Alligator mississippiensis: one gene and its partners. The protein of the gene in region 2 purifies or fractionates together with the protein of the main gene of each other region. This does not show direct contact. Links are inferred from orthologs where the notes say so. Each region holds a gene or a part of one and is shown on either strand. Other genes may lie near its edges. The genes, in order: HOMER1, DBN1, GSN and TMOD1.

Region 1 (7,732 bases), on a different chromosome or scaffold from region 2:
CAGTCCCCCTTAAAAGAATCTCCCAGCCCACTGAGGTGCCACAGTACCCTATCTGACAGTCATTGGTCTAGTCACTTGCTATGCTGTTGCTACCATGTTGTATAGGGTATCCCATGATGGCAAAATTTAGTGTCATGTAGTATCGCCAAGTGAACCCTGAATGAGTTATCCTATATGTCGGAAGCAGTACATGGAGCAGTACAGAAGATGGAACTCTGCCAGAGCTACTCAGTGCTATTGGGAAGTGGAGTGTGGCTATACTGCTATGGCTCCCTAACAACCTTGGATATCTCTATTCCACTCTACACATGGCTGTGTACTAATAGACATGCCCATATACCTCCTTCAGAAAAATGATCAAAATCTATGTTAAAACTAGTTAGTTTTGTCCTCTCTACTTTGTAGTCTGTTCCAGAACCCCACTCTGGCAGTTAGAAACTTTCTTCCGTTTCGAATGAGTGAAGTTACTCATGGCTGGCTTATACACATCTTTCTTGGGCCAATATAGTCCTTTAGCTTAAATAGGTCTTTTCCCTCCCTCATGTTTCTTCCTAGAAATATCTGACAGGAGCAGTCACATCCCTTTTAGTCTTTGCTTTACAAAACTAGGCAAGTCAAGCTGTTTTTCTCCCCTTACATAATAGGCTCCCCAGTTCTGTGATCATCCTTATAGCTCTTCTCTTCACTTATTTCAATTTGAATGCACTTTTCCTGAACATCGGTGACAAGAATTATATGCAGTATGTAAGATTGGGTCTCTCCGTACCTCATACAGTGGCATTCATGCTTCTATCTCCCAACTGGAAATGCTGGATGCATTTAAATAGGATACATCTTAGGGTTGCATTTTCCTTTTTTTGTTTTTCCATGGATACATAGCCTTAGTGGCTCATAGTCAGATTGACACAACCTGATCTTTCTCCTCCTTTGTCATTTCCAAATTCTATGAGAAATTCTTGTTAGTTCCTAAGTGAATCATAGAAAATTAGGGTTGGAGGGGACCTCAGGAAGTCATCTAACCTCAAAGCAGGACCATCCCCAACTATATCATCCCACCCAACACTTTGTTTAGCTGGGTTTTAAAAACCTCCAAGGATGGAGATTCCACACCCCCTCTGGGTAGCCTGTTCCAGTGCTTTACTACCTTCCTTGTGAGAGAGTTTTTTCTTATATCTAACCTAAACTTCCTTGGCTGCAACTTGAGACCATTGCTCCTTGTTCTGTCATCTGCCACCACTGAGAACAGGCTAGTTCCATCCTCTTTGGAACCACCCTTCAGATAGATAAAAGCTGTTATTAGATCTTTTCTCAGTCTTCTCTTCTCCAGATTAAGTGCATGTTTTCACACTTTCTATTAATTTAATCACATTTCTATATTTCTACTGTTGCAGTCAGCAAGTTTGTTACGCACAATTTCTTATGTACATGGTGAGGTATATATCTTTAGATGGAGGAGTACTGTTGGCTCCTTTACCTTTTCTTTTCTTACCTTTTTGTTTAATATTAAGTATATTATGTCTATACAAATTGAATGAATGAATGAATAAATAAATGTCAACCTTGATTAATAATGCAGTGTTTTTCATGCATTGGTTAGTGGAAATTGGAAGGTAGAAAACAGAACAGCAGAGACTCTTTATGCATGAAAGCTTGCAAAGAACTTTTTTTTCCAACTACTTAGCTGGTCTAATAAAAGATATCACATCTATCCAAAGAAGCTTGCCTGCCTGTGTCCTTAGATCTACACAGCTACTACCAAAAACCCTGCAGGGCAGAAAAGTAACTTTAATTAAATTTGGCAGGAGTAAATGAAGGCCTGTTCATGTGAGAGAAATGCACTAAATTAGCCAAATCCATTTAGAAATTGGTAAAATTTATTTAGGTAAACAAAGCTTAAGATTGGAGATGTTAATTTAGCTGAGCTATGTATTATGATTAGATAGCAAGTGGATTAGCAGGAATGAAGAAGGCAAAGGAAGACAATGATTTGAAGCTGTTAGTTTAAAATGATAAACTGTACTGATGATGAAGTATTACTGTTTAAATGAAGATCTCAGTGACAGAGAGATTAACTATGAGATTTGCTATGCATAACATCCTGCATCCAATGTTTCTGTTCCCTCGGTAAGGATTTTTTTGCTGCTTATACTTATTACACTAGATCGTAGCTTGTCTGAATTCCACTTAATATGAACGTCTACATGGTCACCAAAAATGCAAAAAAGTGAATATCTTTGCATGTGGTTTTTGTACTAAGCTTCCTCATAATACTATAACCTATCTGGACTGTTGAGTATGGTCTCTTGCTTTTATTTTTCCCTATTTTAATCCCGTTCTATGTTATAAATGTCTTGTGTCTCCAATATTTTGCATATATGAACATTTCACATATATAAACAGGGGATGGTCTCCCAAGTTTCAGATAAGTAGGCGTCTTATACTTAAAGAGCAATATTAACAAGTGTGACATCTTACACTTTCATAAAAACTAGATTCCTGGCATCCCAAGCGGATGTGTTCTGGAGATCTCTTTCCTACTTTGAACCTGTTCACAGATCTGACTCCCAAGACAATAGGCAGTTCTTTCCCTCAAGGTTTGGCTTGTGAATTTGATTTCTTTTGTTGTTGTTCAGACTCTCAAACTTTTGTTGTTGCACTGTTAGGTGGGAAAACAGCATCAGAATTCATACAAACCAAAAAAAATGAACAAATTTGAAAGGCTGAGCCAACTCTGAAAGGTTGAAATATCTCACTTTGGACATCATCAAATCCTATAAGATTTTTATTTAGATCCAGGACACCTAGCTGGGAGAAAAGAACTAAATAGGTGCTGCATAGCATTGCTTAGATCTTAGAGTTTTAGTTAATTTTTAGCACTTTATTTGTTACAATAGACAACAAGTGTTGCATACATGGCTGCTTGGTCTTCAGGCACAAAAGTTCTTCACCGCTTATTCATAAATATACCTGCTTTGAACCTGGAGAGTAGTAAATTCCAGATTGATACCACTGATTCTGAAGGTTTCAGAGCTGAGTGCCTACACTGTACTTCTAAATAAAAGGACAGAGTGGGAATCTGAAACTGCTGTTTCCTGCCTTGTGATGAAATCTGCCTGACACCTCAGTGCTGCTGATAGGAATGATTCACACTAGGCTTTTTGTGTTTATTTTTGTTTGGAAAAGATTTCCCTTATTTAATCAGTTGTTTTCATCCTCTTGTGTAAGGAGTCCTCTTTGTCTATATTCAGTTACTGCTCTAGATCAAAATATTAAGGAAGGTGTTTTACCTCAATATCTACATATTCCTTTAGAAAGTGTCCATCAATGCTCTGTGAATGCCAGGCAGTTCAATAAAATCCTGCTACTGCTTAAAAATGTCAAACCGGAGTACACTGATGTACATATCCAGTCTGATGTACTGGAGCTGTTGCCCTATCTTAAATATCTTATGTGAGGATAGAGGGAATTAAAGGACAGTTATGAACTAATTTTGTCGTCTCATGTTTTGTTTTTCTAATTTTGTGAGTGTAGTAAGATGTGCAAGTACCCCAGCATTTTACTATGACTGCACATCACTATCGTGTTCCATTGATACTTCCTTGCCCATTCAGTATTATTTTTATGGGAAAATTTAAGGCAGTCTAATATAAGATGTTAGTTCAAAAATACACCACGGTTTAGAAGTCTTTGATGTCACTTGACATTAGCCCTATCTAAGAACAGCTACAGTTGGCCTGGTATATATGCAGTAGAATTTAGAGAATTATGAACATTTTTGCTGGATCTAGAAAGAAAACCAGGTGCCTCGTAATGTAAAACTAGTTAAACTTGCAACAGGATGTGTCAGACCTTGAGCTTTTCTAGTTATGTAGGAGTTAGCAACATGTTATATTTGGATGATATTCTTGCAGGATTGGGGGAAGAACAGTAGGTTGTGGCAAGCTCTTGGTGCTTTTCTGGGCTGCAGAGCACGAGGGCATTGGAATCTGCTGGACAATGAAAGTTGTTTCTGCCCTTCCTCTGGGTTTAGCTGGTAACATTTTGGTTTTGGAATACTTAAGCATAGCTGTATCCAAAAGCTAGATGTGTTCATTTGTAATGCAGCTCTATCACTGTGCAACAAGCTTGATGCAATGGGACTTTGGATCCACATTTCCATGGCAGATCTTTGTGGGGTTGGATTCAAAGCACCGTTTTCTAATGCTGTTGGCTCAGATGTGCCCAGGGATAGATTTCCCCAGTGAAACAAGAAGTTGCTCGTGCTTTCTGTTTGGAGTGTGTGGTCTGTGGTTAGAGCAAAAAGTTTCTAAGCCATACTCGCATGCCAGCCTGCACCAAACCCCACCCCCCACCCCAAGATCAGAGCAGCGGATGCAGTTTACCTGCACTCTCCATTCGGGCTACGATATTTATGTGGCGGCGGCAGCGGCGCGTGCATTTGGAATGCTTAAGCTCTGAGGTCCATCTAGGTCTCCCTTAAATTTGTGGGTTTTTTTTCCCCAGGAGGGCCAGTAGGCGGACTGGTTTCGCTGTGCTGTCGGGACAGCGGGGCCAAGAAGAATGCGGTTTCTGAGCCAAGCGGAGCGCCGCGGGGAGCCGGACAGAGGGGGCGGCAGCCAGGGCTGTGTGGAGCTCATCGAGGGGGCGGCAGCCGGGCCGAGGCTTCCCTTCACCTCCCTCCCGCCCCCGCACTATTGCCTATTATAGAAGCGCTTCCGGCAGCGTGGAACACTCTGACATCATCCCCCGCACCCCGGTGACGTCAGCGCCGGGAGCGGTGTGTGACGCCAGTGCGTAGGGGAACGCGGTGACGTGTCCTATTTAAAGGTCCCGAGCGGAGGATGGAGACACAGCGAGCAGGTGCAGCGGCGGGGAGAGCGCGGCCGGCCGGGCGCAGGGGGGCGCGCGGCGCAGCGCGCTAGGGACGCTCGGGCGCCGGCAGCGGCAGCAGGAGCGCCTCGCCGGGCTCCCTGCGGCGTGGAGGCGCCGGCAGGCCGGGGAGGCAGGGAGCGCGCTAGCGGGGGCGGGCGCGCAAGGAGGAGGAGGAGGAAGAGGAGGAGGGGGCGTGAGCAGGAGCGGAGCGGAGCGCCCGGACAGTGGCGGCCCTCCCGTGAGCCGCTGCAGGAGGAGCGGGGCCTGGCGCCGCCCCCGCCCGCCGGGATCGATCCGGAGGAGGATGCTCGGCCGCCGCTGCAGGAGGAGGCGCGCCTGAGCGCGGCCGGAGGAGGAGGAGCGGCGCCCCGCGCTCTGCAGCCGGCGGAGGAGCGACCCTTGCCGCCGCCGCTCGCCGGAGCCCGATGCCCGCGCCGGTGCCGCGGCGCCTGCCTCCGCCTCCAGCCGCTCGTCGGGAGGATGAGCCGCGGCCGCTGCCGGCGCCGGCGGGGCTGTTAGAGCGAGCGGCGGTGCCCGGACCCGGCCCGCTCCGCGCCTGAGCGCGGCGGCGGCGGCCTCGGGGCGCCCGGCCGAGCGCGTCGCGTCGCGCCGCTGCTGCTGCTGCCGCTGCCGGTGGTGCCGGTGCCGCAGGCGAGCGCGGGGAGGCGGCTGCGAGCCACACGCCCCTGCCGCGGCGGGAGGAGGAGGAGGAGATGCCGCGGGGCCCCCTCGGGCTCGCCGCCTAGGACGCGCCCGCGCTGCGTCTGGCCGCACATGCCGCTACGGGAGCGGGGGGCGCCCAGCTTGTAGGCGCCGCGCTCAGCGCTGCCCCGCCGCCGCCCCCGAGCGGGCGGCCTCCTGCGGGCCGGGCCGGCCCGGGCTCCACAGCGGACGGCGACCGACGCCGAGGCCGCGACGCCTCTGGGCACCGGGGCTCGAGAGCAACTTCCGTGCAGCCTCCGGCGGGCACCATGGGGTAAGGGCGGCTTCCTGCGCTCCGCGGGTCTCTGCCGACCGGGCGAGCCGGGCCGCGCTGCCTCCTGCCCCTGCTCGGCCGGCTCTTCTCCAGCGCTCGGCTTTTACTCTTGCACGTGCTTCCCCGGCAGAGCTGGCTCCGGCCCCGGCCCCGCGATGGGTGGCGGGAGGTCGCTGGCATGGGCGGCGGTCTGCAACCTGGCAGGAGGGTGGGAAGAAAAGGGGCCCGGGTGGGCGGCCCTGCCTCTCCTGCTGGGGCTCCCTTTCGAGCTGGATTGGCAGGCACCACCTTAATCCAACTGCTCGGGCCCCTGTGCGAAGGTAGTGGAGGCATAACAAGGCAGCTGGGTACCTGGGGTGGCTTGCGGATGGTTTTGCCCCCTCCCCTGTTTCCCTATGTCGGCACCCTGGGGTGCCTGCCCCAGTCACTACGGTAGTGTAGCTACAGCAGGGAATCTCCATAAACAGCAACCAGCCTTTTACTCCTGTTGGCTCTTTAGGATCAGTGCAGCTAAGACAGGGACCTGGCTATCTCCATTAGGATACTTTTAAATCTAGGTAAACGCACTAAAGGCAGTTGTCTGGATTTCCTCAAGGAGACGACTCTTGGAGACAGTTGGCTTTTTGGTTCTAATGTGGTATCAGAAATCATCTAGCCTGACTTGTGGACCCCTGAGTGGGAGATATATGCAACATCCTAAATATGTTTCTAGTCACTTCCAGGGTATGGACAGATGAACCTCTTGAACTCTGTCAAGGAAGAGGAGCACTTCCTGCTCTAGGGCATACCTCGGGTGCCCAATTGAATTGTTCCATCTGTCCGTCTGTTCCTGTAGCACTATAAATGATCTTATTTGCTGTAATGTTATCCGTGAAAGAGAGGCACAGATTAAAATTTTAAAATGGTTGTTACTACTCTTCCGCTATATAAGTAGACTGGTGTATAACAGGCTACATTTTAATATAGTTAATTGGATACAATACTTAATTTTCCAAAGTAACACTAGTTTTAAGGTTTCATCTGCTTGCAGCTTCAGAGTTAAATGGCAGTTTGATTGATTTATACATAATTACACTTATTAAACAAATTGAGATGGTAAGTCTCATTCCTCTTCTGTATTTTTTTTTTTTTTTTATATCAATTCTGTTTGCAAGAGTATGGCATTTTCCGACATGATGCAGAGAACATTCCATGACAGAAGCCTACTTCTCATATTTATAATTCTCTCCAGAAGTTCTTTCTTACAGGGGTAAGATGGGGTGACATTTCTCACAAGTCTGTCTAAGCTCTGAAATCACATGGTCTCTCTTGGAAAAACTTTACCCTCACCAACCTGCAATCTAAGCAGCTCACAAAATGAGTTGAAATTGTCCAGGTTCTAGGCTACTTTGGGAGTCTACTATTAAATGTAAGGGAAAAGCCACATAAAGGAATTTTTTTTAAAAGAACAAAATTCTCCTTTATTAGGTAGTGTTCCTTTTGAAAACTCATCGGTTCAGGATACCTTCCTAGTGAATTAATCAAAGGAAACAGCAATGTGGATGGACTGTGAACAACATATAATAAAATACACCAAATAAAAGTATAGCAAACTAAAAATGTACCATATTTTTAATACTTTTACACAATGGCGATGCAAAAATGTGAGGTGGAAATGTGACTCTTGCCAGACTGCACAGCATCACAAAAAGGCAATTAGTGTGTGTCCTAAAACACTAGCAAAAAGTCGCCTGTTCTTAAGAGTGAGAGCAGTGAACTCAGCACTGAATGGTGATGACCTTCAGTGTCTCATTCAGGGATTTGTGAACATGAAATTGGTATTTTCACTTGGTGAAATTGGTCAAATAGTGGCACAGAATATTAATGTACCTAAATATACAAATT
Region 2 (7,533 bases):
CTTGTGGGGATGGGGGGCCACACTGGCCCCCGCAGAGAACTCACGGAGCCTGAGCCCAAGCCTCAGCTAGACCGCTGGGGCTGAGCGCGGGGAGCCGCTACCTGCAGGCGCTGGCAGAACGGGCAGGGAGCAAGGGTAACGTGGCGGGGGACGTGGAGCCCTGCCTGCCTTGGGCACTGCTGGGCGGGCAGGGGCCAGGGCCGGGGCTGGCCTGCCCAGTGAAGCTGTGCCAGTGCCGCCGACCTCCTGCTCGCGCACGCCAGGGACAGCTAATTTTAGCAGCTCGTCTCCCTGGCTCTGGCATGGGGCCAATGTTGCAGTGCTGGTGTCAGCCAGCTGCTCCGGACACCTCGGCCTGCCCAGCCCAGCGGGGTCCTGGCCAGGAGCTGCCAGCTGGCGGGAGCAGGGGGACATGCCAGCACCAGCGTCAGGCACAGGCAGAGGCCCTGCCCAGCCGCGCCGCCTGGGGCAGGGCCAGGCCGGGCAGTGCCAGAGACCTCCAGGGTCCTGGCCAAGTCCCAAGCGGGCCCAGGAGGCTGGTCCTGCTTCTGCCATCTGCTCCGAGCTTGCGGGGCTGGGCCAAGGGCTTGGTTCTGAGCGACGGAGCCACGGGGCCCCTGGCTGCACAGAGCCTGCTGGAGCCCCCCAGGGCCCGGGCCTCACTGCACCAGCCCGGGCACAAATCCCCAGCAGCCAGGAACTTGCCCTGCTGGGATGCCACTGCCTGGGCAGCCCCAGGGCGAGGATGTAATTGTCTGGGGGTGCGGTGGGGCGAGGGATTTGGTGGCAGCAGGGACCCACGTGGCAGCCCTGGCCTCTGCTAGGTTCAAGGGGGCGGGCAACTCTGAGCTCCTACAGGGAGGGGGGCCAGGGCAGCATCTCTGCCGCGGATGTGCCAGGTCGCTGCCGCCCCATGCCCCGCCGGCTGCCCCAGTCCACAGGGCAGCCCCCCCCAGCTGCCACAGGCCGCGGCCCCACGCACACATGTGTTTCCAATGTGGCGCGAGCTGGGGGCGAGCGCAGGACGGCGCCGAATTCCTTTCCTATCGAGTAATGGGCCCGGCAGCCTCCGCGAGGCCCTGACGGGGGAGGGCCGCGCTGACCTGCCACTGCCCGGGAAGCCCCAGACTAAACATCCCCTCCCCTCCCAGCCTGCCCGGCCCTGGCCCCAGGAGCCCTGCAGCTGCTGCAGCAGAGGCAACACCCCCGACCCAGAGACCCCACTGCCAGCTTGCAGCCCCCCAGCTGGGTCTCCCACCCAGGGGCTGCAGCAGTGCAGGCTGTGCCCCCCGCAGACCGGCTCATGCCTGATCTCACTGGGCTGTGACTGTGGCATCGACCCCCACCGCTGCCCTGAAGCTGCCTGTGGCTCTTGGCCGCCCAGGGGGCAACTCGGGGCGGGGGTGGGCTGCGCCTGGGGGATCAGAGCCCAGGACAAGCAAGTGATGCTCGTCTCCCCCACCTCCTGCTCCCTCCTCCCCAGAGCGGTCCCTGCAGCAGAAGCCCCCCAGCAGCTCCCGGAGAGGCCTGCCACGGCCAGCTGGACACACGCGGGCTTTGCGGCCTCCGCCCCAGACAGGCGGCGGCACTGCGCTGACCCCGCGACCTTGGGCCCGGGCAGGACGGGGGTGCACGGGAGGGGCCGGCGGCACCGCTGCAGAGCGCACGCCCCAGTGCTGCGGCAGCTGCTGCGCGGCTGGCTGGGGTCTGGCGGCATAAGGAGCCCATTGTTCAGCCCGGCCTGGCCCGGCCCGCGCTGCGCACGCAGCCTTCCCTGGGGACCCACCGTGGGCAGGCAGGCTCGGCCGCTCCCCCGGCCCCCCTCACCCCGCAACCGGCTCTTCCAGCTGGGCTGCCTTTGGGGCTGGGGACGCTGGCAGAGGTGCCTGTGCCGTGGGCTCTGGGGCAGCTGGCACAGCAGGAGCCCAGTGATGGCTCCCTGGGGACGCCGGGCCTAGCCAGGCTGTGAGCAAGGGTCGATGCCAGCACATCCCTGGCCCCGTGCAGTGATGCGGGGGCCCGGGGAGTGGACCAGCAGAGCCGGCCGTGGGCGACCCGGTGCTGCGGGCAGGGGATGCTGCGCGGGTGCCAGCAGCCGGGGCTCTGCTCAGCCTGGTAGCCCCGGCCGGCGCGGGGCCCGCAAGGAGCCAGCACCCGCAACACCCCGGGGCCACCGGCCGCCCGGTGCAAGGGGAGGTGATGCCAGGCCCGAGAGGGCGAGCAGGGGATGCCCGTCCTGCCCCCACCGAGCCGCTTCCCTCCTGGGACCGCTTCTGCTCTGGCGGCTCCGGCCGGGCGGGGCGGGGCGGGGCCGGGCCGGGCGGGGCGGGGGGGGAGGGGAAGCGGCTGCCCGAGCCGGGCTGGCTGCTCCAGGCGCACGTGCCCGCAACGCCCAGGCCGAGGCCGGGGCCGGGGCCGGGGCCGGGGCCGGGGCTGCGGGGCGAGGCGGGAGCAGCCTCCGCGCTTCCCCTGCCCGTCATCGCCCGCAGCCCCCTCCCCTCCCCTCCCCTCCCGCGGCCCGGCCTGGCCCGGCCCGGCCCCACCCTCCTTTGTGTGGCTGCTGGAGCGCCCCCCGCGCCCGCCCGCCCGCCCGGCCCCGCACCGCACCGCACCGCACCGCCCCGCACCGGCGGCAGGTGGAGGCGCCCGGCCGCGATGCCTCGTCCCTGCGCATCCCGCACCCGCCCCGCCCCGGCCCGGCCGCTCCCCGCCCGGCGCCGCTGGCAGGGGCCGCGCCCGCGCCCGCGCCCGAGCGGACAAAGCCGCCGCGCCCCGCGCCCGCGCCCGCGCCGCCCCGCGCTCACCAGTCGGTCGGGCTGTCCTCGCCGATCACGTCCTGGTAGGACGCCAGCAGCTCCAGGCGGTGCGCGCCGAAGCCGACGCCGGGGCCGGGGCCGGGGCCAGCCATGCCGGAGCCGGAGCCGGAGCCGGAGCCGGGACCGGGACCGGGAGCCGCCGAGACTGCACCGCAGCGCCGCGCCGAGCCGAGCCGAGCCGAGCCGGGCGCGGGGCGAGGGGGCGGGAGGCTCCGCCCGCCGCTGCCGCCCGGTCCTAGCGCCGAACCGGCCCCGCACCCTCCCCGCCCCCCGGGACCGGGACTGGGACCGGCCCCGGCCCCGGCCCTGGGGACAGCGCCCAGCTCCCCCGCCGAGCGGCCCGGCCCACGCGCGTGCAGCCGTCAGCCGGCTCCAGGGCCAGCACCCGCCCCGGCTCCATCCTCCTCGGGGCACAGCCTTCCCCGCCTGCGCCCGGGCCAGCACCCCCGCTCCGCGGGACTCGTCCCTAGGGTGCCCTTTCGCCAGGAAACCTGCCGCTGGGGCCAGGCCAGGCCTGTCTGCACCCCCCACCCCCCCCCCCAACACCGGGGTGTACATGGACCGGCTCCATGGCTCCCCCCCCACGTCTGCTCCCGCCCAAGATGTCCAGGCTGTGTTCGAGGGACAAGGGGCTCCTCTCACTGCAGCTCAGCGCCTGGGGGCAGGGGGGGGTCGGGTGCTGGTCTGTCCAGCCAGTGGCTCACGGCACCTCTAGCCCCGTCTCTCCTGCCCCTCCGCACTGCTGCACTGTCCAGCTGCAGCTCAGGCCCCTTTTTGGTCCCTCCCCGTGGCTTCTCCCAGGCCCGGCTGCTCATGTTGGTGCATCCACGGCAGGGCCTGCCCAGGCCTCTGGCTGCCCCACGCTGGAGGAGCAGGGCCCATTCTGCACAGGGTGGTTGTGGGGAGGGGTGATAATGTCCCCAGGGAAGTGACGGGTGCTGCCAACACACGGGCACCATGGAGCTAGGCGCAGCTGCCCTGCACAAGCCAGCACTGGGCTCAGCATGAAGAAGAGTCCCTGGAGACACCGGCACTTGCACAGAAGTGTTTATTGAGACACTAAAAGCTCCGCGCGACGTCACAGCCCGGCTGGGCACGGGGGGAAGGGGTGCGTGTGGGTGTGGGGAGAGCAGTGGCTCTTGGGCAGGGAAGTAGGTGGCACAAGCGTGGTCACTGCAGGGTCCCCTCCTGCACTCACCCATGGGGCAGCAGGGCCGGGGCAGGGCTCTGCGCTCTGGCTGGTGGACCCCAGCAGAGAGGGCCCTGTGTAGGGCAGGGGGGCACAAGGGCCAGCTGCTGGCTCAGGGCACATGCCCATGCACTGGCCGTGTGGAGCAGCCCAGCCCCATGCAGGGCCTGCAGCAGGTGCGGGGATGGAGGAGGGTGGGTCCTTGGCAGCAGCACCCGTTACCCCCAGGCCAGGGCCGGCACGGGGTGAGGAGAGGTGTGTCCAGCCAGGCCCCTGCCACGCTCCAGGCAGGGTTCCCGAGGGCTGCGGAGGGGCAGAGAGAAGCATGCAGGGCAGGCCGGGCTGGGGGAAACGGTTCCCCTCACACATGGGAGAAAGCATGGCTCTTGCACAGGGGCTTGTCCTTCTTGGAGTAGAAGGTCTTCCCCTCCAGGTTGGTCTGGCAGATCTGTGCAGGTAGGAGAGCACGGTCAGGAGGGGGGGGCCTGTGCCCACCGCCACCCCCAGGGTAATGCTGGCTCCAGGCCAGGCCAGCCCTGCTCCCCCCACCCTGCCCCACTGCCACCCAGGGCTGGGCACCACTGGGCAAAGCTGCTGCCTGGAGCCCCCGGGCACCTGCACCACCACGGATGAGGCCGGGAGGAGTGGGGACGCTCACCGCACAGACGAAGCAGGTGTCGTGCCAGCTGAAGCCCAGCGCCTCCAGGAACCGGTCACCGGCATCGATCTTGAAGTCGCAGCCACGGCATTTGGTGCCAAACATCTTCTCGTAATCTGGGGGGACAGGGCAGCATGGGGCCGCAGCCGAGCAGGGGGACGCGGCTGCCCACAGGCAGGCTCCTCAAGCCGCTTCTGGACACGACTTTGCAGCTGGGCCTGGCTGCAAGCAGGATCCATGCTTGGGCCCTTCGCTCCCCTGCGCTGGGGCAGGGGCAGTTGGTCCCGGTGCCCAAAGCCTCCCTCCCCCCCATTCCTGGCAGCAGCGCTGTCAGGCCTCTGCTCTGCCACTTTCCCAGGATGCTTTGCAGCCCTTGGCTTTGATGTAGGTACTTACACCATCACCATGGCAACCTGCTGGTGCTGGCACTGCCCAGGCCCCTCCTCCCCGTCCCTCAGCAGCAGGAATGGGGTGGGGACCGGGACCGGGATGGCCACGTCCCAGCTGTGCTGGGAACCCCACGATGCTCAGGCTGGAGCCGTTCCTCCGAGGCTACCCCCCCCAGGCGGCATGGGTGGCGGGGGGGCGGCACATACACTGCTTGCCATAGGGCGGCACCCCCATGCCCGTGCCGTACCTCTCTCGCAGTAGGGCTGCCCCTCCTCCATGTAGAAGGCGCGGTTGCGGATGGGCGTCTTGCAGGCAGCGCAGGTGAAGCACTGCACGTGCCAGGTCATCTTCAGGGCGTGCATGATCTCCTGGGGGACGGGGGGTCAGCCACATGCCCTGCCCCCCGGGGAGCAGCAGGGCAGGCCCCCGTAGGCAGAGCCAGAGGCTCCAGCTGACCCCACAGCACAGAGCAGGGGCCTAGGGTGGGAGCTGCAGCCTGGGGGCCACCAGGAGCAGTGGGGCAGATCCGGGGTGGGGGCAGGGCAGGCTGGGGAGCGCTATCGGGCAGCATGCAAGACAGGGGGCAGTGCCCAGGGCAGGGCTGATTGGCATGGGGACCGGGGGGCTGCGGGGCAGCACCCGGCTGAGACCACTCACCCCCGTGATCTTCTTCTTGCACTTGGCGCAGGGGGGGGCGTAGCGCAGGTCGTAGCAGGGCGGGCACAGCACCGAGCCCTTCTCCTCGAAGAAGCCACCCTCATCCAGCGGGCGCCGGCACTGGCAGCACGTGAACTCCTCAGGGTGGTAGTAGCGTCCCAGCGCCACCAGGTAGCGGCCCCTGCAGAGGGCAGAGGCAGGTGAGCCGGGCAGGGGCCGGGCCGGACCCCTGCCTCACCCTGGGCCGCGCACTCACCTGATGACCTTGTTGCAGTGGTAGCAGATGGGGGTGCGGCCAGCGGGCTCGGGGGGCTGCTGCGCGGCCTGCACGATGGAGCTGCGGCTCTGTGCGGGCGTGGGCATGGCTGGCTGCCGGTGCTTGCTCAGCACCGTGCTGGTCTTGTCTGGGGCGTAGCGCTCCGCGAAGGCTGCGTCCACGGCCCAGGGCGGGCGGCTGGCGGGGCTGGGTGCGGCCGCGGGGCCGGGGACAGCGCACTGCGGCGTCTCCCGGGGCTGCGGGCCCCGTGACCCCCCAGGGCCTCCGCCTCGTGCTCCCCACTCACCCGGTCCAGCCTCCGCCTTTGGTGCTGCCCCCACAGGCGGGCCCGGCACGGGGACCTGGCTACAGAGCAACCCGTTAATCCAGCCTGCATCTGGCCTCCCCGGCCAGGCAGCCCCAGCCCCCCCCCGCCCCAGGGACCCCAGCCTGCCCCCCCCGCCCCGCTGTGGGGCACTGCCCCTGGTGGCTGGTCTGGTGCATTGTGACGGTGCCAGTGCTGTGCAAGACCTTGTGTCCTTGCGTTGCGGTGCCGGGTCCACGCGTACGTCCCAGACCCCCCCACCGGCAAAGAGCCCAGTCATGCATGGCCTGCCTGCACTCGAGCCTGGATGCCCCGCAGGTGAGGGCTGCTCCCCTCCCAGCACATGCAGGCCCAGCAGTGGCCCAGGGACCTGCCCCGATGCCAGCGCCCCGGCTGCCCGGGGTAAAGCACCAGCCTTGGGCAGAGAGCGGCTGCGGCAGCACTGTGGCTGCTGCAAGGAGGCCACGGGCAAGGGGAGGGCAAATGTGCACACACAGGCTGAGCCACCTGGCAGCAGGGCCTGAGCCCTGGGTTGGGAAGTGTGGAGCATGGCATGGGGGCTGGAGGAGTCCTGGTGCCTGCCCTGGCTGAGAAGGGTGGCCAGGCACCCAGGGGATACTCCAGACCCAGCTCTGGCAGGGGGAGGCCCCACGTCCCCAGGGCCAGACCCCCAGGATGGCAGCAGCAGTGGGAGCAGGGCCCCTCCCTGGGACATAGGCGGCACAGGGGTTGCACGACCTCCACTAGAGCGCGGGGACAAGGCAAGGCCCAGCAAAGGCAGCGGGTGAGAGGGCCGCACACAGCAGTGACGAGGCAGAGGCAGCTATGAGGACGGGAACGTTTATTGGACTACAAAACACTGGTGCAGCTGGGCCAGGCTGCCCCAGGCCACGTGGGACCTGCCAGCCGGGGCCCCTACACCGTGGCCCCTCTGGCTGGCTGGGGGCATCAGCACAAAGGGACTGGGGCAAGGCCCCGGGGCTCTGCCAGCTGCCTGCCTACAGTGCGGCAGGTGCCAGGGGTCAGAGGGCTCTGCCCGCCAGGCCATGGCCACAGGGAGAGCAGAACAGCTGGCCCGGGGGCCGCCTTCCCCTCCGGCAGCCGCGGGCAACAGCCCTTGGGCTGGCTCAAGGCCATCCCGGGCCAAGCCCCCACCCCCTCCGCACAGCGCCTGAGCAGTGACCGTGTGCCAAGCGTCCCCGCAGGGCAAGAGGCCAGGGCAGTGATGCCGGTGTAGCTGTG
Region 3 (7,016 bases), on a different chromosome or scaffold from region 2:
GCCCCTGCCCCTGAGCTCTACCCGGCTCCAGTGCATGCCCCTGCCCCTGGGCTGTGCCCGGCTCCCGTGCATGCCCCTGCCCCTGGGCTGTGCCCGGCTCCCGTGCATGCCCCTGCCCCTGGGCTGTGCCCGGCTCCCGTGCATGCCCCTGCCCCTGGGCTGTGCCCGGCTCCAGTGCATGCCCCTGCCCCTGGGCTGTGCCCGGCTCCGGTGCGTGCCCCTGCCCCTGGGCTGTGCCCGGCTCCCGTGCATGCCCCTGCCCCTGGGCTGTGCCCGGCTCCCGTGCATGCCCCTGCCCCTGGGCTGTGCCCGGCTCCCGTGCATGCCCCTGCCCCTGAGCTGTGCCCGGCTCCAGTGCATGCCCCTGCCCCTGGGCTGTGCCCGGCTCCCGTGCATGCCCCTGCCCCTGGGCTGTGCCCGGCTCCAGTGCATGCCCCTGCCCCTGGGCTGTGCCCGGCTCCCGTGCGTGCCCCTGCCCCTGGGCTGTGCCCGGCTCCTGTACATGCCCCTGCCCCTGGGCTGTGCCCGGCTCCAGTGCATGCCCCTGCCCCTGGGCTGTGCCCGGCTCCGGTGCGTGCCCCTGCCCCTGGGCTGTGCCCGGCTCCGGTGCATGCCCCTGCCCCTGGGCTGTGCCCGGCTCCGGTGCATGCCCCTGCCCCTGGGCTGTGCCCGGCTCCGGTGCATGCCCCTGCCCCTGGGCTGTGCCCGGCTCCCGTGCATGCCCCTGCCCCTGGGCTGTGCCCGGCTCCGGTGCATGCCCCTGCCCCTGGGCTGTGCCCGGCTCCCGTGCATGCCCCTGCCCCTGGGCTGTGCCCGGCTCCGGTGCATGCCCCTGCCCCTGGGCTGTGCCCGGCTCCGGTGCATGCCCCTGCCCCTGAGCTCTACCCGGCTCCAGTGCATGCCCCTGCCCCTGGGCTGTGCCCGGCTCCCGTGCATGCCCCTGCCCCTGGGCTGTGCCCGGCTCCAGTGCATGCCCCTGCCCCTGGGCTGTGCCCGGCTCTGGTGCGTGCCCCTGCCCCTGGGCTGTGCCCGGCTCCCGTGCATGCCCCTGCCCCTGGGCTGTGCCCGGCTCCCGTGCATGCCCCTGCCCCTGGGCTGTGCCCGGCTCCCGTGCATGCCCCTGCCCCTGGGCTGTGCCCGGCTCCCGTGCATGCCCCTGCCCCTGGGCTGTGCCCGGCTCCCGTGCATGCCCCTGCCCCTGAGCTGTGCCCGGCTCCAGTGCATGCCCCTGCCCCTGGGCTGTGCCCGGCTCCTGTGCATGCCCCTGCCCCTGGGCTGTGCCCGGCTCCAGTGCATGCCCCTGCCCCTGGGCTGTGCCCGGCTCCCGTGCGTGCCCCTGCCCCTGGGCTGTGCCCGGCTCCTGTACATGCCCCTGCCCCTGGGCTGTGCCCGGCTCCAGTGCATGCCCCTGCCCCTGGGCTGTGCCCGGCTCCGGTGCGTGCCCCTGCCCCTGGGCTGTGCCCGGCTCCGGTGCATGCCCCTGCCCCTGGGCTGTGCCCGGCTCCGGTGCATGCCCCTGCCCCTGGGCTGTGCCCGGCTCCGGTGCATGCCCCTGCCCCTGGGCTGTGCCCGGCTCCCGTGCATGCCCCTGCCCCTGGGCTGTGCCCGGCTCCGGTGCATGCCCCTGCCCCTGGGCTGTGCCCGGCTCCCGTGCATGCCCCTGCCCCTGGGCTGTGCCCGGCTCCGGTGCATGCCCCTGCCCCTGGGCTGTGCCCGGCTCCGGTGCATGCCCCTGCCCCTGGGCTGTGCCCGGCTCCGGCGCATGCCCCTGCCCCTGAGCTCTACCCGGCTCCAGTGCATGCCCCTGCCCCTGGGCTGTGCCCGGCTCCCGTGCATGCCCCTGCCCCTGGGCTGTGCCCGGCTCCAGTGCATGCCCCTGCCCCTGGGCTGTGCCCGGCTCTGGTGCGTGCCCCTGCCCCTGGGCTGTGCCCGGCTCCCGTGCATGCCCCTGCCCCTGGGCTGTGCCCGGCTCCCGTGCATGCCCCTGCCCCTGAGCTGTGCCCGGCTCCGGTGCATGCCCCTGCCCCTGGGCTGTGCCCGGCTCCCGTGCATGCCCCTGCCCCTGGGCTGTGCCCGGCTCCGATGTGTGCCCCTGCCCCTGGGCTGTGCCCGGCTCTGGTGCATGCCCCTGCCCCTGGGCTGTGCCCGGCTCCCGTGCGTGCCCCTGCCCCTGGGCTGTGCCCGGCTCTGGTGCGTGCCCCTGCCCCTGGGCTGTGCCCGGCTCCGGTGCATGCCCCTGCCCCTGGGCTGTGCCCGGCTCCCGTGCATGCCCCTGCCCCTGGGCTGTGCCCGGCTCCGGTGCATGCCCCTGCCCCTGGGCTGTGCCCGGCTCCGGTGCATGCCCCTGCCCCTGGGCTGTGCCCGGCTCCTGTACATGCCCCTGCCCCTGGGCTGTGCCCGGCTCCCGTGCGTGCCCCTGCCCCTGGGCTGTGCCCGGCTCCGGTGCATGCCCCTGCCCCTGGGCTGTGCCCGGCTCCGGTGCATGCCCCTGCCCCTGGGCTGTGCCCGGCTCCGGCGCATGCCCCTGCCCCTGAGCTCTACCCGGCTCCAGTGCATGCCCCTGCCCCTGGGCTGTGCCCGGCTCCCGTGCATGCCCCTGCCCCTGGGCTGTGCCCGGCTCCAGTGCATGCCCCTGCCCCTGGGCTGTGCCCGGCTCTGGTGCGTGCCCCTGCCCCTGGGCTGTGCCCGGCTCCCGTGCATGCCCCTGCCCCTGGGCTGTGCCCGGCTCCCGTGCATGCCCCTGCCCCTGAGCTGTGCCCGGCTCCGGTGCATGCCCCTGCCCCTGGGCTGTGCCCGGCTCCCGTGCATGCCCCTGCCCCTGGGCTGTGCCCGGCTCCGATGTGTGCCCCTGCCCCTGGGCTGTGCCCGGCTCTGGTGCATGCCCCTGCCCCTGGGCTGTGCCCGGCTCCCGTGCGTGCCCCTGCCCCTGGGCTGTGCCCGGCTCTGGTGCGTGCCCCTGCCCCTGGGCTGTGCCCGGCTCCGGTGCATGCCCCTGCCCCTGGGCTGTGCCCGGCTCCCGTGCATGCCCCTGCCCCTGGGCTGTGCCCGGCTCCGGTGCATGCCCCTGCCCCTGGGCTGTGCCCGGCTCCGGTGCATGCCCCTGCCCCTGGGCTGTGCCCGGCTCCTGTACATGCCCCTGCCCCTGGGCTGTGCCCGGCTCCCGTGCGTGCCCCTGCCCCTGGGCTGTGCCCGGCTCTGGTGCGTGCCCCTGCCCCTGGGCTGTGCCCGGCTCCGGTGCATGCCCCTGCCCCTGGGCTGTGCCCGGCTCTGGTGCGTGCCCCTGCCCCTGGGCTGTGCCCGGCTCCGGTGCATGCCCCTGCCCCTGGGCTGTGCCCGGCTCCCGTGCATGCCCCTGCCCCTGGGCTGTGCCCGGCTCCGGTGCATGCCCCTGCCCCTGGGCTGTGCCCGGCTCCGGTGCATGCCCCTGCCCCTGGGCTGTGCCCGGCTCCTGTACATGCCCCTGCCCCTGGGCTGTGCCCGGCTCCTGTACATGCCCCTGCCCCTGGGCTGTGCCCGGCTCCAGTGCGTGCCCCTGCCCCTGGGCTGTGCCCGGCTCTGGTGCGTGCCCCTGCCCCTGGGCTGTGCCCGGCTCCCGTGCATGCCCCTGCCCCTGGGCTGTGCCCGGCTCCTGTACATGCCCCTGCCCCTGGGCTGTGCCCGGCTCCAGTGCGTGCCCCTGCCCCTGGGCTGTGCCCGGCTCTGGTGCGTGCCCCTGCCCCTGGGCTGTGCCCGGCTCCCGTGCATGCCCCTGCCCCTGGGCTGTGCCCGGCTCCTGTACATGCCCCTGCCCCTGGGCTGTGCCCGGCTCCAGTGCGTGCCCCTGCCCCTGGGCTGTGCCCGGCTCTGGTGCGTGCCCCTGCCCCTGGGCTGTGCCCGGCTCCAGTGCATGCCCCTGCCCCTGGGCTGTGCCCGGCTCCAGTGCATGCCCCTGCCCCTGGGCTGTGCCCGGCTCCGGTGCTGGGTGAGTCCCCGAGCCGAGCATTGCCCACCCCGGAGCGGGGAGGTGCCGGCGCGGCCGCCCTGCCTCCATCCCTCCCTCCAGCTCGGCTCCGGGCCCGCCCCAGCGCTGCCTCTCCGCAGCCGCCGCCGCCTCCTGCCTCTCCGCAGCCGCGCAGGTAGGTGCGGGCTCCGGGCTGCCCCAGCCTCCTTCCCCGGGGGCAGCAGCAGCTTGCAGGGGCTCGCAGATGCCCGGGGAGGGGGCTGGAAAGCAGGTCCCAGCAGGTGATAGTGGGGGGGGGTGGTTAGCACTGCCCCCGGGCACCTCCGGCTTGTGTGCATGCCAGGAGCAGGAGCCCCATGCCCATGTGTGCAAGGCAGGGTGGAGCCCAGACCTCCAGGTGTGCCTGCCCATGCAGGATAATGCATCCTCGAGATGACCTGGCATCCCAGGATTGACTTGGAGGTGCCACTAGGCGATTCCCATCCCTCCAGCGGTGCCTGTCGTGGCATAAGGAAGTGAGACGGAGCGATTCACAGGGATGGGAGGAAGCACTGATTAACTTGTGGGAAGGAGGAGAAGTGACGTGGGGCGATATAGGATGTGTCGTTGCAAGCTGGCAGCCTAGACAGCCTGGTCCTGTCCAAGCTCCGTGTCTCTTGTCGTGTTATAATTCAGCAGGGAAGAAAGAGAGAGAGAGGGGGGAAAAAAAAAAGTTTGGGTAAGTCAAATATCTCCTTGTGAACACGAACTGTGTGTTGAGGCTCCATGCGGCATTCTGCTCTCCGATTTGGCAGCGTGGCGTGCAGCAGCGCACTGCCACGTATTTTGTGATGTCTGTGCATGCTAGCTTCTGTATTTCAGGGAGTGCGATTTTATTTATTTTTTTGAAGCTGTCGTTTTAAATCACTGACAGTGTTTCGCTGCCCTGCAGAGAGGGGGTTTGATTGCACGAAGCCAAAAGCACCCCGATGTGAGCAGACAGAGAAGTCCTGAAGGAGCTTCTGCTCCGTAACATCCCGTTGCTCTTCTTGGAAACCCGATCAATAAGAAGCCTGTGCAGATTGTATGGGTGGTTGGGCAGTGCTGTGCAGCTGGCAGAGGCTTGTCCTCTGATTTAGGACATGTGCCAGACTGGTAAAAATAGCACAAGTCTTTTCACATTACTGCTGGGAATAGGGGGGCTTTGTTTGTTTATCTTTTTGCCTGGATGAATATATTTTGAAAGCACTATTTGAACAGAAATTCAAAAATTGCAGACACTTAAACCTATTTAAAATGTTTCCTAGGAAGAGTGTTAAAAAAATTATGGGGATGACTTGTTTCAAGGAGGCCTCATTAGTAAGTAGATCCTCTTTGAATAAACTGCTTTGAATGTTAACTTGCTTTTGGATGTAAAAATCCAACTTTGCTAACAAGGATCCTGGTATCCTTCTTCCCAAATCTGCTAGTCCTCTGACTGACAACGGCCGTTCTTGGGGTCTTCCCTGGCCAGCTTTATGCATGATGCAAGTTTATTGGCAATAAATGTCCCTTTGTGGACAGATGGCATGGCTCGGCGCAGGGTGCTCCTACCCTGGACTAGAACGGGGGGCTCTTCTAGCATCTCTCATCCTCCAGGTTTCCCAAACTATCTTAACAAAATAACAAGTTAAATACTCTTTCTGCAATGACTGTCTAGGCCAACGAAGCAGCCCTGGAATAGTCCTCACAACCTCAGATATCACAACCAGTTTCCTTAATATTATCCTGGAGAAAATGTATTCCTTGGTCCCTTCTATAAAGTACCATGCGATTGTCTAACTTTTCCCTGCGCAGCTGTCGGAGGGAAGCAGAAGGGATCCCAGTTTAACATCTCCGCCCGACGGCGTCTAGCATTTCAGCTGCACTTGTGCAGCCTGGCAGAGTATGCACTGAGTATAAATCTCAAGGTCTAGCCCGGACTCCACCCTATGGTCTCCACGCCTCGTGGTAAGAATGCAGCCCGTTGAGTCCTTGGCACTCAAAACTGAGCAAAGCTTGGTTTCAAGAGTTAATCTTTATCAGCCGGATCGGATCCTGCTCTCTCTGAGTCAGTGGGAATCGTGCCACAGGGCTCGCTGGAACTCAGTATGAAGATAAGGTGTCATAACTGGAAACTTCGGTAGGCCCAGATGGGCGTGGAGTGTAGTCCTGCCTCCTCAGTCACGCTGCTTCATCCGCTAGTTTGAAAGTGAAATGTCAATAAGTTCGTGAAAGCGATAGCAGAAGATATTGCCATACACAGCTGGCTGTTAGGTGCCCAGCTCCCAGGCAGTTTTAGTGGGAATTAGGTTGGTATCCACCTCTTTGCAAAGCTTCCCCATAAAGCTGACTTGTAAAATGCACGTATCACCATGAAGCCCGAAATCTTCTGCAGCTGGTTGGTGATCAACTTACTAAGAATATAATGGAGCCAGCGATCCCGCCTTGACACTATCTAAGTGGCAAGGCAAGAAGACTTGGGTTTATTTCACCATTATCTTACCGTACCGATTGCAATCCGGTAGCACAAGCAGCATTTGAACCTAGTCCTGGCATCACCAAAGCACAGAGCTGTGCCCGCTGAGCTAGAGGAATAGGTGTGTTACTCCCACTCCCAGAGCTGTGCGTATCGTACTAGCTACTAGCAGGGAGATGCACTAGGTGTGTCACAAGCTCGCTCCATGGTCCTTACCACGTTAACTAGAGCCGGCGCTGCTACCTCTGTCTGAAAAGCAGGTTGTCTAACACCTTTGAATACAAAGCCCTGTTTTCCTAGAGATGTTCTGTACGTTTATAAGTCAATATTGGCAGCTCGCAAGCTGTCACTGCGTCTGCCAGTGTGAGCGAGTTCAGCCTTGCTGCTATAAAAGGAGAAAAGCTAACAAAACCGTAAAACTTTACGCCGTACAGAAGGCAGCAATTAATATTTAATATTTGAAAGACCCGCCTCAAGCAAGCATCGCTTTGTGCGTTGACGTAGGATGATGATTGCGTGTGTGTGCGTTTGTGAGTGTGCGTGCACGCGCAGTGCAGGATGTGATCTGATCTGTGGAGTTGTGGTGGGAAGGAAGCTATT
Region 4 (7,603 bases), on a different chromosome or scaffold from region 2:
GGTTGTGGGTTGGATGTGAAGAGCACTGGCAGGGCCAAGGGGGCTGTTTTCTCCTTAACTATTTCCTGGGACAGGCCTGGCCATCATTGTTTACAAATGGGTCCGGGTACAAAAAACGGTTGAGAACCACTGAGTTAGAGCCGCTGTTAAAGTGTGTTGTTCTTCGTATTCACATATGCCTGTGTTTACTGAACTGGGTGATGACTACAGAAGTGAAGCTAACCAGTCTCTAGCTGGGTCACTTGCTGCTCTCTAAACTGCTGAGTCCTCACCTGTGTCCTTCCCCCAGCTGTTCCAGAACAATCGAGTTCTTAAAAGCAGTTACCGACTTCAATCTGTTCTTCTTGAATTCTGGGGACCCTCCTTCTATTAGTCATATGTTGCCACTTCTCCTTTTTTCCCTTTGGCCTCTTCAGTGCCAGCTTCTCAGGACTCGTATCCAAGAAGTCTTTATATTCCCTGATAGTGCACAGTGTGGATACCTGTGCTTCCAGCCCCTTGATTTGTTCCTTCAAGACAGACACTAGCTTATAATTGGTGCAGATGAAATGTTTTGATCCTTTGGGAGAACACAGACAAGGCATATCCCCCATCCAAGTAACAACTGATCCAGTCTCCACTTGTGCCTTCTATGCTCCCTGGGCAACACCTAGGCTATAGGAAGCAAAAAAAATAAAGCGGGAGGGGGGAAACCAACCCACACCCATGTGTGTGGCATGCACACATTCATTCACACATGCACAAGCACCCAAGAGTATCCTGCTCCCTCCTGTGATGACTCCCTCTCTGCTTGCTTCTCTGTTCACAAGGGGCTGCCTTTAATAAGCCTGGGCATGTCTGGGCCCACCCTTCAATTAGCCAAAGCACCCTCTATTGAGAGAAACTACACACAGAGCTTTGAGCCCAAATCCTGCCAAGCAATCACTTTGACACAGGCACAATTCAAACATACAGGTACAACAACAAATCAGCACCCCTGAATTTCTGGTCTTTAGACCATCAGCTCTCAGAAAAAATCTTCACACAGGGAGACAATCTAGCTTCAGTTGTCCAGCAGCCACAAAAAAAGCAGGGTGGGGGAAGGGGGAGATGGTTTGGGGGGGAAGCTATCCAAGCTGTCATTGGGCTAAAACCCTATGGAAGCAGTTAGTTGCAATTGAAGTTCAGCAGTTGAGAAGAAATCATAGAGTTGAGAAGCAACAACATCAAGGAACCAATATACAGGGACAGAGGATGTAAGGTGCTGGGACCTAGGAGATCTGATCTAATAGTCAGGCCACTGGGGGAAGGCAGGGGCCAGGGTTGGTTCAGAGCTCAGAAGTTACATTACCAAATCCAGAAGAGAATCCAGGGGCAGACTCCACAACACAAGACCAAGGTCAAGGTCCAGGAATCGGATGCTGAGTTACCAAATCTGAGATACAATCCACAGGGCCAAGTCCAGAATTGGAGCCAAACCAGAGTCAGGAGCCAGAAAACAGATCCAAAGGAAATCCAAAGCCAAAATCCAGGAACAAGTCAAGACCAGGGGTGCTTATACACATGCAGCAAGGCTGCTCTGACGCACTGCAATCACAGCATGTTGGAGCAGACTCAATTGAGTCTGCTGGAGTGCAGTAATTACCATGCTCCAGAAGACTCCAGCATCACGTGTATCAGCACCCCCATGCTGAAAAATGGCAGCAGGAGGCACTTTAACTAACACTTGTTTAAGATTTACTTAAAACGCCCCCACTGCCATTTTTCAGCGCAGAAGATGCTGATACACGTGACACTCTGGGCGCTCCAATTTAAATGTCCCCCTGCCCACTCCCAGAGCATGTGTGTATAAATGCCCCAGGAGGCTTACCAAAGGAAACTGGGTCAGAACTGTTGGCTAGCCTGGAGGCAGATGCCACAGGTGGGACCTGTGGCAACTGGGGTCGCCCCCAGTAGCTAGTCAGGAAGCCAGCCAATTAACTAGCTGGGACAGAAAGCAGTGAGCAGGAAGGAGGTTCCATTCCAGCAGGCTGTTTATGAACAAAGCACCCCTCACATTGGCAACAAGCACTGAGTATATACTTTCTAACAGGTGAGCTCCACTGCTCTAATGGGATAATACTGTGATCAAAGTAGCCACTAATATCATTACTGGGGAAATACTACATGGCACATAATACAGAGTCATGGAGAACACAGATGCCACATGTGTGAAGAGAAGCATGGATTTTACTGGACCAAGCATGTAGTTGGGATCAAACTGGACAAGCTTCCGAATGCAAGGCACAATCAGTGGCGACGTGTAGGGGGTGCACAGGGGGTGCATGTGCACCCCCTGAGACCAGCGTTCCCAGGCAGGGGGGCAGACGAGAGCGCTGGTGCCCCCCCCCCCGAGTGTGCCAGGAGAAGCGCTCCCCCCGCAGCCGATCCTGCTGGGGATCCTGCTGGGGATCCTGCGTGCCACTGCCAGTTGTGGGTCAGCAGGATCAGCCGCAGGGGCCCCCCTCTGCTCACCCGCGAAGTTGCCTCAGCTCAGCCCAAGCCGGTGCGGGGCTTTCCCGGCTCCACCCGCCTCCTTCAGCGAGCCCAGGACTGGAGAGCACGAGCCGCCCGCGGCCACCGCGCAGCAGGTGCGGGGCGGAGGCGGGCGGGGGCGCAGGGAGCCGCCGGGGTCGCACACGGTGGCGGGAGCCCGCGGCCCGGTGTGGACGCAGCGCGGGCTGCCCCCCCACCCCGGCCCGCCCGAGAGCGGCGCCAGCAGCGGTGGCGGCTATTTATAGCCCCTCGCAGCCCTCGGTGACAACTGAATATTTTGCCCAGATATGGGCGGGAGCAGCGCCCGCAGTCCCGGGGCCGCACCGGGCGGGGGGCACCGCCGCGTCCCGCCCCCCCCGGGCTTACCGCACGGCTCCGGCTCCTCGCCCTCGCCCCCACCTCGCCTCGCCAGCTCTGCCCGCGCCGGGGGCCGAGACGCGCGCCCTGCTCTGCGTGCCCGGCGGGAGAAGGGGCCCGGCCGCTGCACCTCCCCGCGCCTGTCACTCAAGCGAGGGGAAGGGCCACCGCCGGCGCCGCCGCTCCCGCCTTCTCCCTCACCCCCCGGCCCGGCCCGGCCCGGCCCGGCCCGGCAGCCAGCTGCTCGGCGCCGCTACGGCGGCATGGGGCTGCCCCGAGGTGCAGTCATCCATACCCTCCACCGGGTTGCTGCCGACTTCACCACCGCCTCTCCACCCGCAGGTTTCCCTCGCTGTATGCGGGCCCTGTATGTGCCCGTTAGCTCTTCGGCGCTGACCCTTTTTACACCAGAAATTCGTCGTATGCGCGGTAAATTCACCCTTATCCGCCCCGCGCGATGGCAGCCCGCAGGCAGCCGCTTTGTGCGGTGGGACACTGTGGGCCTGACACGCACCAGCGTATAGTCGGATATACGCTCCTGTATAGTGACAGTAGTGTACCCTACACGTAAGGGTTTAGGTGGCTTGATCATTCAAGGTCACCCATTTCAGTGAGTAAATGGAGGCTCAGTGAGTAGTAAATGTCAATGTTATGCATAATAACAATAGCGTTTATGTACGATGTACACAATATTTCTCACCCCAACCCCAGATCAACTTGCATTTAATTATGGCCCATTCTCCAGTCTTCTGTGCCCCCTATATTGACAAGTTCACTCCGTGTCCTCAACCCCTATTCCTAGTCACTGATCAACTTGACCAGCTTCTTGAAGCCTGCACCCAAAGTTAACTACAAAACCCCACAAAGAATAAATCCCGTCTCACACCTGACTAACTCCCCACAGCTCACCATGAAATGCCTACATTTGCACCTACAGCAAAAGTGGGCAGAAGCAAATATCTACTGCCAGAAGGATCCTCAGAGAAGTGCATAAGAAGTTTATCTGCAGGATCCTCAACCACACAGAGATGGCAGCTCCTCCATATACACAAGATCTGGAATAATGTGCCCTACTTTTAGCATCATCAGATCAAGCTATAATTGCTTTCATCACATCAAACTCAAGGTTCATTTCATCAAACTCAAGGTTAAAGACAAAGTTAGAGATCCCCAATTGGCTCTGTCTCTTGTACTCACCCCTTAGGATTCTAGCCTGGTTCTGCAATAGAGTAGATCAGTATCAATGCACCCTTTCAAAAGTTCAGTGACTGCTTTTCCTTTTCCCTTCCACAGCCCCTGAACTTGCCACTTGAGTCAACTCCAAGGATAAGGCTGAGGGGCAGGGAGTGTGTGTAGGTAACAGCTTGCTGCTTTGCTAGATCTGAGAGGTGCCTTGAATAGTGAAACAGAAGAGGTTAGTTGTGGGAAGAACAAGACAGATGTGAATACCGATAACAGGGAATGCCATTTGGGGACAGAACGCTAAAGATTATGTTTGGTAGTTAAAGAAAAAGAGAGAAGGCAAGAAAGGGGAATAACATTGAGGACTTTTGCTAGTTGCTTAACCATAGTTCTCACACTCCCCAACCACCATGAATCCTGGAGACACCCATGCTTGTTTAGGCACTAGAAGCAGTCTTCCCATAGGGCTTGGCGTGCCACATGGGCAAATTTATCCTGCCAGTAAATTAGCCAGTACTGAGCAATTGAGACATGAGAGCTACAGAGATCAGTAGCCCACAGTGGAAGCTAGATCACAAACAGCAGCCTGTTGTTCAAGGAGGCCATCAATCCCTGTTCTAGTCCAGTCATCCACACGCACAAAGCCCGTGTGTTTTTTGGGAGGGACTTTTTTTATTTTTGAAATTTATAGCTGAGTTGTTAAGGAAGAAATCTGATGCGGGGGGTCACTTTTCTAATCTTGGCTTTGGCTGCCATCTTTAAAAATGGCAGCCATGACTAATGAGATGAATAAATGTCAATATCTCAGTACCTACGAAGCCAATTTTGATTTTCTAAATGTCTTTAAATAGGTATTGCAATAACCTACAAATCTTCTTTGTCTTTTGATGAGTAACGGCCCATTTTTTGGCAGCTCCAACCCTTTAAATGCAAACAACATTACTTTTTAAGGCATGACATATAGCCTAGAATGGTATCTGCTCTTAATGTTTTGGTAATCCTATCCTTTTGTGGTTACATCTCATCTACATTACTTTTTTATTTCTTCTTTAGTGAAGGAAGAGAAAATGAATAGTTAAGAACAACGGATGATAGAACAGGGACTGGAACTTCCCAGCAAACCAAGAGGCTAGCACTTGTAGTTGCAGCACTGCCAAGAAAAAGCCTAAAACTTTCAATAATAATGTGTGTCATATGTGAAAAAAAACTTCAACATCCAAAAAGAACCCCTTACAGCAACTTTCCCAGGATACATGGAATAAACCTGCACAAAGAGCTCAAGAATGGAAAGACTTATGCACAAGTTTTGATACGCTTTATGAGCGAATACAGGTCAACAAAATAAGCCAAAGAAAGTGCATAAAAACTGTAAGTTGAATGTTGTAGGCATTAACTTGAAGTGTGCACAAGAGGCATACTATCTGTTAAGTGTTGCAAGAGAGACTTACTGATGAACCAACTGAATCACGAGTAAGAAGTAGCTGAGAATGTCCCTTGTTAGCTAGGGGCAGGGTCTGAGCAGTGCAGAGAGAAGCAGGTGGGGGTGGAGGAGGTGCTGCAGACAGGCCAACCTAGCCAGACCCTTGGGAAGGCAGCAGCTGGAGGAGAGAAGGGGCTGGGTGGGAAGTGGGGGCTACCCCTGGGCTCTGCAGATTCAGGCCATGGTGAGCAGGTAGTGGTACCCAGTGGCACCTGAGGTGGGGTCCGGCCCAGCGAGGCCCATGCAGCTCCACAGGGATGGGGCTGAGTACACGCCCAATGCTTGCCATGGTGCTGGGACCTGTGGCTGCTCCAGAGAGCCCAGAGCAGCAACTTAAAAAACAAAATTTTTTTAAACAATTTCCTCACACGCCTCTTGGCATGACAAGAAAAATGGCTCTGTGTGCCACTAATTGGCATGCATGCTGGGGATTGCCTAGCCCTGCTCCATGATCCTTGTGCAAGAAGTTTGAAGATCATTTTGGAGAAGATGCTAGGTTTCAGTGCAGGTATCATAGAAATTATTTGTCCATAGTTTATTCCCCCAAGCATGGAGAAGCATATGTTGAAAGTGCAGTGAACAGTTGGGGTATAGACACTCCAAAACTGGTATGGACTGTAGCCAAGCTTCTTTACTCCAAGCATCAGGCAGAGGCTTGAATCCCATGGCCATATGGAATCAGCAAACTGAAAGAGGACAACACACCCAATTACATTCATAAACTTGTGGCATTACTTGCTAATCTTCATTCTACATTTAAAGAAGGTCCTGTGCTGGTTGTAGAACAACTGCTACCAGCTGTACATTTTCTGTCTGAAGGACTATTGCACCTAATCACAGGAAAATTACAGCCAATGTAAGTCACATTATCTATGTATGGTCACAACATGACGGGTAATAAGCAAACTCATCCAAATCCTGAAGGAAATTAAACTTGGCATTTCTTATAACCTTGTTCTTGATGAACTTTCAGCATGGACACTGCAGGAATGCCACGAATCTGACCATAGTTCAAAACTTACAGTAGAGACACCACAATAAATTCAGCATGGTCAGTTGTATCCAAGTGAAATTAAAGGCCAGCCTTGTACTGTTGTCATGGATAATGGTGATTTCAATGAAGATGGGTTAGCAGGCTCCAAAATAAGCTATTATACAAATGTAATTATGGCACAACCAATTTAATTTCACCAAGAATTAACCATTTCAGATACAACAACCTTGGTTATACAAAAACCTGATGTTCAGAAAAGTTTAGTCAGCCCAGTTATCGCCAAAAATTATGGGCTTAGTCAGCCCAGTTATCGCCAAAAATTATGAGCTCAACCACAAGCACAAAGATTCAAGGTTAGTTTTGATGGAATAGTGGTGCACTGGCCCACACACTTCTTGAAATGATGCAACCACATGGAAAGGTCCCAAGCATTTAATGGATATCATTGCGGTCTTGAAAGAAATGTCTTGAAGTGGGAAACATACAATGTTAAATGTTATGCACAGCCTCCAAGCAGAGAGCCAAAAAGTTGCTGACCTGGAGATACCAGTGATTCAGTTGGTTGCAGATCAAGCAGTGTATAGGTATATTGAAGAGGCCCTTCACAAAGATTGTAGAATCATATAAAATAAGGGTTGGAAGGGACCTCAGGATGTCATCTAGTCCAACCCTCTGCTCAAAGTAGGACCATCCCCGACTAGATCATCCCAGCCAAAGTTTTGTCTAGCCAGGTCTTAAAAACTTCCAAAGATGGAGATTCTACCACCTGTTCCACTGTTTCACTACCCTTCTAGTAAGAATTTTTTTCCTAATATTTAACTTAAACTTTCCTTGCTACAACTTGAGACTGTTGCTCCTTGTTCTGTCATCTGCCAACACTGACAATAGTCTAGTTCCATCCTCTTTCAAACCCCGCTTCAGGTAGTTGAAGGCTACTATTAAATCTCCTCTCAGTCTCCTCTTTGTCACAACCCAAAGTTGTGAGTTTTTGTTTGTGTGCGCTTCGGCAATGCTAAATTGCAGTTTCCTTGCACGGTGGAGTTCTCTGCTGCAGAAGAGAACTCCGGTGCAACGGG

Evidence for each region.
Region 1: the proteins of DBN1 (region 2) and HOMER1 purify together in Homo sapiens (co-immunoprecipitation; 3 studies listed by BioGRID and IntAct, counting the BioPlex papers as one, with this or other methods). This does not show direct contact. The link is inferred for Alligator mississippiensis from reciprocal best matches to the Homo sapiens genes DBN1 and HOMER1.
Region 3: the proteins of DBN1 (region 2) and GSN purify together in Homo sapiens (co-immunoprecipitation; 3 studies listed by BioGRID and IntAct, counting the BioPlex papers as one, with this or other methods). This does not show direct contact. The link is inferred for Alligator mississippiensis from reciprocal best matches to the Homo sapiens genes DBN1 and GSN.
Region 4: the proteins of DBN1 (region 2) and TMOD1 purify together in Homo sapiens (co-immunoprecipitation; 3 studies listed by BioGRID and IntAct, with this or other methods). This does not show direct contact. The link is inferred for Alligator mississippiensis from reciprocal best matches to the Homo sapiens genes DBN1 and TMOD1.

Annotation. Positions count from the first base shown.
Region 1 is NC_081826.1:257,687,963-257,695,694, reverse strand, and holds the start of HOMER1 (homer protein homolog 1), read left to right. Parts: upstream 1-4,723; 5' UTR 4,724-5,843; coding exon 5,844-5,848; intron 5,849-7,732. UniProt on the Homo sapiens protein: Postsynaptic density scaffolding protein. Binds and cross-links cytoplasmic regions of GRM1, GRM5, ITPR1, DNM3, RYR1, RYR2, SHANK1 and SHANK3.
Region 2 is NC_081832.1:79,418,170-79,425,702, reverse strand, and holds the start of DBN1 (drebrin), read right to left. Parts: upstream 3,011-7,533; 5' UTR 2,909-3,010; coding exon 2,805-2,908; intron 1-2,804. Other genes in the region: PDLIM7 (PDZ and LIM domain protein 7), read right to left, coding at 4,367-4,453, 4,664-4,779, 5,301-5,421, 5,711-5,891, 5,967-6,332. UniProt on the Homo sapiens protein: Actin cytoskeleton-organizing protein that plays a role in the formation of cell projections. Required for actin polymerization at immunological synapses (IS) and for the recruitment of the chemokine receptor CXCR4 to IS.
Region 3 is NC_081835.1:64,356,321-64,363,336, forward strand, and holds the start of GSN (gelsolin), read left to right. Parts: upstream 1-4,008; 5' UTR 4,009-4,115; intron 4,116-4,401; exon of another isoform or gene 4,402-4,658; intron 4,659-5,226; 5' UTR 5,227-5,245; coding exon 5,246-5,278; intron 5,279-7,016. UniProt on the Homo sapiens protein: Calcium-regulated, actin-modulating protein that binds to the plus (or barbed) ends of actin monomers or filaments, preventing monomer exchange (end-blocking or capping).
Region 4 is NC_081826.1:153,044,971-153,052,573, forward strand, and holds the start of TMOD1 (tropomodulin-1), read right to left. Parts: upstream 3,012-7,603; 5' UTR 2,881-3,011; intron 1-2,880. UniProt on the Homo sapiens protein: Blocks the elongation and depolymerization of the actin filaments at the pointed end. The Tmod/TM complex contributes to the formation of the short actin protofilament, which in turn defines the geometry of the membrane skeleton.